2 linked regions of the Drosophila melanogaster genome follow. The protein of the gene in region 2 purifies or fractionates together with the protein of the main gene of each other region. This does not show direct contact. Each region holds a gene or a part of one and is shown on either strand. Other genes may lie near its edges.

The links.
Region 1: the proteins of CG1092 (region 2) and PH4alphaEFB purify together in Drosophila melanogaster (affinity purification with mass spectrometry, with the first as the bait; one large-scale study listed by BioGRID). This does not show direct contact.

What each region holds. Positions count from the first base shown.
Region 1 is NT_033777.3:30,464,181-30,467,939, reverse strand, and holds the start of PH4alphaEFB (prolyl-4-hydroxylase-alpha EFB), read right to left. Parts: upstream 1,891-3,759; 5' UTR 1,566-1,890; intron 1-1,565. Other genes in the region: CDase (ceramidase), read right to left, coding at 2,379-2,562, 2,623-3,233, 3,659-3,759.
Region 2 is NT_033777.3:4,265,141-4,268,881, reverse strand, and holds CG1092 (uncharacterized protein), read right to left. Parts: upstream 2,113-3,741; 5' UTR 1,909-2,112; coding exon 1,677-1,908; intron 1,622-1,676; coding exon 669-1,621; 3' UTR 566-668; downstream 1-565.

The DNA of each region.
Region 1 (3,759 bases), about 26 Mb from region 2:
AATTAGTAATGAATGACAAATGTTCGCAGCTCATCCCCAGCTGCCTTAACACCCGGCTGGCCCCCATGATTAACCCATGGCGAAGTGCTTTAATGCCAGTCAGATGCCGTCATGGAGCGTGTGCACACATAAATTTTACAATTCACCTTGAAATGTAAGCATAAAAGGCGTCCCCGATGGAAATCGCAATACCAAACCGGTTCAAAGACTTTGCTGAACATTATAAAAGCGAAAGATGAGCTGGGAAAAAGGCTGGAGCGAAATGGGCGCAAAAACCAGACAAGGAAGTGGGCCAAATAGCAGCTCCTTGTCGACATTGTCCTCACTTTCATTGCATTCCGCACATGGATGGAACTGGTGATCCACTTGGCAGCCACTTTCGTTTTCGCATCCAACTCTATTATTGCCAACCGGTCGTCATTGCCGAACTAATTAGCAAACAAATAATACTGATCAAATGGACGTAAAGGCGAAAGGCCGAAAAAGCAGGCGGGGAGCAACGAACCAGATTGCGGCTAAATTATAAATTTCATAAATTAACACACCTTGCTCGTAAGTTAATTGAAGCTATTGAATCCGATTGTATTTTCAAAAATACACGCCTAGCCATTAATCATCCAAACCAGAGTCTAATTGGTTAAGTATTTCCAATTAGACAAGAAATATCCCGCTAATAAGAGCGGCTAAATGAGGTTTGTGTCCGTGCTAAATAGGAGTCACTTCAACTGGGTTTTAATCATAGACATTTACCAGGTACATTATGTTATATATGTTATACATTTAAAAAAGGATTCTGTTATATAAAGAGTAACTTTATTACCCTTTAAAGTAATTGTATCCTCTTTACAAACAGGTTTGAAAACAGTTTAATAAACTGGTTATTTTTAAGTCACTGATTGACTACCTAATATTACTTATTCATGTAATTTGCTACTGAAATGTATAGTTAAAGGAAGAAAACAATTTGTTTCAAATCTATTGATTCCTTGCTGAACTAGGCCATCCTTTTTCGCACAGTTGGCAACGCAGTGTTTATACCCTTTGCATTGGAAGATGAAGTGCACGGGAAACGAGACCAAAACAAATGCCTACAATTGACTACGTGACTGCGGCACTTCCTTCTTTTCGCCCCCTGATCATCATTATATAAACACACCCAGACGGACGTAAAAAGTACATATACACATTGACGCCTATGCCGCACAGACTTTTTCGAGTCCAGATATTTAGAGGCTTATCGCCAGCGGAGATGGAGGAGGAGGGAGGAGCATCAGCAGTAGGAAATGGGGAATATGTGGGGGCAAAAAGCGGTCAATTGAATCGCCATGTGGTGACAACAAGTGCATATAGAATAGTATGTGAACACTCAAATCAGTTTAGTTTTTTTGTCACAGCGCAGCAGAGCATTTCTCTCTAATCAAAATCGAATATTCAATTTAGATGGCCCACATTCCCGTCATTCAAGTAAAAAGACTCGATTATTGTTATCAGTGCACGACGGATGCCGGCAGGAGGAACACGTCAGAAGTTCTAGAAAATGTATCTGTGGAATTTCTTTAATTTACCCTGTGTTTCTTATGCGAACTTGTTGCTGGATCTCAATGGATGTCAATGAAACTGGCCGCCTTCTTTGTTTACAATTCAACGAGAACACCTCGATTGCATTGCCCACCCGCACTTCGTATCTTATAGATACATTTTATGCACTCTAACTGGAAGCACACAAATCACGTTTGTTTTAGATATTTTCGTTTAGACTCGAATTTAAGGATTGTTTTCTCTGGTCCCCCGAGGAGTAAATTCCCTTTTTCACAGTTTTGACTACAAAAATATAATTTGTGTTTCTGTTTAATTCGCGTGCGCGCGCCGAGAAATACCGACTGGAACTGATTTTGTTTTGCTGCCGCCTCGAATATAGATAAATACCGACTTCCAGATCCAGAAAGAGAGAGAATTTCTGGTTTCTGTTTCGAATTTAAGAGAAGAGCACCAATTTCGAATTTCGAAGTTCAATTTAATACCACAAAAGAGAAAAAGAGTTGAAAGAGAGAAACTTGTACAGCATTGTGGATTTCATTCGAACAGCTGTTTGCGGATCGTATATGGTGGCGGGCAATTTGAATTGTAATTGGTAAAAAGGTGAAGCAATGTCAAAAGACTACTAGAACAGCCATTTCGATCAAAATTAAAAACACTTCTCCTTAGTTTCAACATAATTTGGCATCTTTTTTATTCGCGTTTGCAAAAATAAAGCTTTTCCTTCGTCACTTACAAATGGTAAATAAATACATGGATTCAGTGTTGATTTTGTTTTTGATGGGCCCTACAACTGTCTGGCCAGGAATATTTATAAAATCACTCCACACGGATATCTAATCCTAGTCCTCCTTAACGGTGAAGGAATGCGTGAGTCCCTCGTAGGGATACTTTCCGCCCAGGATGTACTTGTACTCCCCGGAATGGCGAATGCGATATTCCCCGGGAAGAGTCTGCGGACTGATGTCCCAGTAGATGTCCATTTCGCTGAAGCCCAGGATCGTATTGGTTCGGTGCCAGACCATTCTGAAAAGTAACGATTTTATTAAGTACCAACATTTATAACCTCAAGCTGGCGCTTCCTACTTGGTCTCCCAGCTGGCATCCGTATAGGCCACCTTCCAGCGATCCTCGTTGATCTTTCGCTCAATGGTGAAGTAGGTTTTCTCGGTGAAGAGGTTGTTACGCGGATTTCCGGATATGTAGGTGACCTTCACCGTCTCGTTGATGCCGTACTCCTTGTTGGGCTGCGACTTCACGTAGCCAAAGTCGGTGTTTATGGGATGTCCGTCGAAGAGAACCCCGGTGTTCAGCGATAGCATCACATCATTCATGTACGGCGGACTTGGACCCGCATCCACGGTCTCATTACGCATCATGGCCTTGGTCAGGCGTTCGAAGACGTCCATGTAAATGGAGTGGGTATGGGGACCGAAGATCGTGGAGGCGGCCTCGTAACGCTGCGCCTGGTACTCCTCCGGGGTCACCGTGTAGCTGGTGTATATGTTGGTCAGTCCGGCGATGATTACCTCGGTGTCGATGCCTCCGACGGCGGAGGCAGCTGCTCGAATCTGGTTTCGCAGACGACGTCCTGCCATTGTGGTGAACTCGCAGGGCACGGCGGCTATGATCACATCGCCGATCTTTAGTAGCTGATCCGAGACAATCTTTGGCTGCCACTCATAGGGAAAGGTGGCCTTAAATATGGATAATGTACATGTTAGATATGCTTAAAGTGCACTTAGATTTTTAAATAACAGTTGCGCATTAAGTGATGACCTATAGCCTGGCTATAACTACCTTACCTTGATTTTTATGAGCTGACAACTAATTTGCGTAACGTTTCAGTTTAATTACCCCACTTAAATGTGCATTATAAAAACAAAATCCACTACATAAATTTATGTATTCTATTCCAAAATTGGTATTTTGTTCCTTTGCACTATTAAACACATTTAAATTTATTTTCTGATGCACACAACACTCAACAAAGTTCCAAACAAATGGAATGATTTTTGTGCTGCATACCTTTAGGCAATTTCAGAAATTCTTTTAAAATCGCTATTGTTTTTTTTCAGACTTGCTTTTTAGTTAATAATAATTGATTAATGGAAAAACTCACCCTGCCGGTGGCCAGAAGAATGGGCTTGGGCTCATGGCACTTGATGTCCTCCTGCGTGGGAGCAGCGATGAAGTCGCGCACAAAGTTCCACATGGGGTTGT
Region 2 (3,741 bases):
TTTTATAATTTTATTAGACTTGTAAATTTCTATCGATTTGCCAAAAAAATTTGCCACGCCCACTCTAACGCCCTAAAACCGCCCAAAACTGCCACGCCCACACTATTGCAAAATGTTTACATTTTTTTCATAATTTTATAAGTCTTGTAATATTCTATCGGTTAGCCAAACAATTTTTTTCACGTCCACTCTAACGACCTTAAGCTTCCAAACCGGTCACGCCCACACTTTTAAGCCATTTTTAATTTGTTTTTCATTTTATTCCCCATCTATCGATATCCCAGAAAAATTATGAAATTTCGCGTTCGCATTCGCACTAGCTGAGTAACGGGTATCTGATAGTCGTGCAACTCGACTTAAGCATTCTCTCTTGTTTTACATTTCAGTTTTTGGCCACAAGCCGCCCGTATGCATGACCCACGCTTTCAAAATTTTTTATTATATATTTCTTTTTTTTATTTTTTTCCCAACTTCAATCGATATGGAAGAAATTTCTCGTTTGCTCTTTCACTAGCTGAGTAACGGGTATCTGATATTTGGGTATCTTAACTTCGCTTGTTTTTTAGTGAAAGCCATTTTTTTCAAATGGTTTGTACACCTTTATGAGAATGTTATTGCTTTTATTGTATCTCGTAAACTAAATATATGGTAGAAATGGTCTTGATCTTTTAAACACAAGTCATAGGGTTTTCCGTTTGGAATCCACAAGAGTATATGTCGTAAAAGTCCTTGTTCTGTTTAAGGCCCAGATAGAAGACATGCTCGGCCAGATCCTTCCCAAACTCACAGAAGTTCTGAGCGTAAAGAGTAAAAAATATACGCTTGTTGTCAAGATGGTACTTTTGAAGGACGCCATTTTCCTGATCGTATATCCCACTGTTCTGTGGAGGCGAGTTGATCCAGGCGCTGTAGTCTATCCAGGCCGCTCGGAAGCTCTTTAAGTAGATCACAGCCAGCATTCTGGCCTCATCCAGAACATTAACGAACTGCGGCAGCCTTAAACACTCCACATCTTCGCGAAACCGCGTGAAATCACGCTGACGCTCCAGACTATTAAAAAGCATCATGTACAAATGGACCGTAAACGTGGAGTAGAAGTAGGACATGGGCTTGTTGCGGCTCTGAAAGAGGTACATGCTCCAATCCAGCATGGTGCGCTGAACCCCCAATTCGTATGTTGAATTCAGTTTTCTGTGCTGCTCCAGATTGCGAACGTTGTGTTCGTAGCTCTCCCGGTAGATCCGCAGGTCCTTGTACTCCCGGCTCAGGTCTCTAGCATGGAAGTAGACTCGCGGCGTTTTAAATTTCTGCTTATACGTGGCCAGCTTGCTGAGAATGGGATTCGACTCTCTGTCCTTCTGAAACCTGACGACGAAGCGGTCCAAAATGCCCAGAAAGTCATCCAGCTCGTGGGATTCTCCATTGAGCATGTTTTTTGTAACTATATACCCGAAAAGTGGCTTGAAATACTCATAGGTCTCACGATAGCAGTCTTCCAGCGCGTGGTGCACGTTGCAGGAGATGAAGAAGTCCAGCGTCTTCTGCTTAGCCTCGAATGGCTCTGGATCGTTCTGCAGCTCGGTCAGCAACTGCATAAGATCGCCCATTTGCGGCATGTGTCCTTGGATAGGGTATATGCATTAGGCACTCCCCCAACACAGGCTTTCCTCACTTACCCATGATCGAAAAGAGGGGTCGATTGCGGCTACAGACGTAGTCGAAATAGCTCTCGCAGGCATACTTTTCGGTGTTGATGGAGCCCTGTATACGAACCGACAATTTTTCAAGTTCCCTTATCCGCAGCTCCGACAGGTGCCGCACGTATCCCACTTGGCAATGCCCTGAACCAGTCAACATCAACAGAATAAGCGCTACGGATGCGCCGATTGCAAGACTTGAGGTTGTCATCGCAGAGCTCAAGTCACTGGCAACCCAGCTTTTGCGCCAGCCTATCGGACCCCTCAACGGATGTCGGATTTCGTTGCACAGTAGTTCGAGAGAGAGTCACTTTTCAAATACGTCTATCACTGGGCAACGAAACTATTTAACTTCAATTGAAATGTAAGCACAAAACTCCGTATCCCCTGGTATTAAATAACTAAAATAACTTATTGAATGTTTCAATTTTTAGTAAAAACTTTTTTATTACTTTTGACAATATTTAAAAAGATTTTCTGTCCAAGTGGACAATAATTAAATGATTGTGGGCTGACATTGACATAATTTATTTTTATCATAATGAACGTTTGAAAAGCATAGATAGTATTGAAAAATGCCCTATTAGTGCAACTCAGTATATGTTTTTATGGTGTGTTTTCAACATTTTCAACTTATGCTTCTTCAACGTGTTTAACCAAAAATTTATCCGGACTTTAGAAGAACGTTTTGTTGCAGACAGTTACAAACAGTTCTCCAAAATCACAATAATCAATCTTTACCGTTTTACCTTTTTTATTTTATCGCGCACATATAAACGGTCTAAAAACCAATTAAACGCTCACATTCCTATTTTATCATTTTTACTTGAAAATGCAAAAACACCCGAAAGTTCTCGGGTTGTTTGTTGTTTTTATATTGTTGAATTATTAGAACGGATTTATATATGATCTTATTACACTCGCACCACAGTGCATTGCTCAATTCGAGGTCTTATTTTAATTCAGTGAGTGAGTTCCTATGCTTAATTATATTTCCGAAGCGATAAGAATGTCAAGTCCTATCAGGAAAATTTCTCTCCCACTGTTTTTACGATCGCGCTATTCTGGAATATGGGCTTTGCATCGTTTCACAAGTATTACGAGTTATATCTGACTAAGCGTAGACAACAGTGTGCAGTTGCTTATGAAAGGAATGATTTAAATATACATATACATACATAATATACATATATTATATTATATTTGTTGGTTTATAAAAAAAAAGTATTTTTATTGATCAAAAACTTAAGCGAATGTCGGAGACAAATTCACGTCTTACACAATTGAAGTATGAATAAAATCTAAATCTAATTTGCAAAGCGAACGCTTAGCAAACCCTTGGCTGAGCTTATTTACTTCTTCATATTGAGCGTACATAGGCTCTCATTTATGTTTACGTTAATTAGGCGCTCTCTTGAGTGGATTGCGCATGGATATAGATCAGCCGAGTTTGAGCTACGTGGAAAGTTTTGACCCTTAAAGCTGTGTTAGCAGTTTTGACCCTCTGGTGGGAGTCGCGAATGCGGCTGCGGATGTTTATGTCTGTTGGATTGGGTGCCTTCTTGAGTGGATCACTCATGGGTACTGATCAGCCGAGAACTTGAGCTGCGTAAGCGGTTTTGACCCTTTGGTGGGAATAACTGATTCGGCAGCGGATGTTAATGTTTACATTAGGGTAGGCTGGATTTGTTATTGTCACCAGAATTTGGGTTCTTATTGGATACATGATTTTATGACTTATATCCTAAGGCATTCTATGATTTTGTGTATGGCTGTTCCTATGTGGTTATGTATGTGTGTGTGTAAGTATATGTGGTCTTATACTATGGCACATATGCTACTTCCCCATCCTTTAAATTTAGCCTGTCCTCAGGCGGATATTCTAGGATACAATACAGGATTAGTATCAAATACTGTATTTATATTTTCTGTTGTTGTGTTATTTTGTTGTTCTATTTGTTGTGGATTCTCTTTTTTATATTTAACAATTAGTTTTTTGGGAATGCCTTTATATTTATAAATAAAATATAGTATAAGTGTAAGT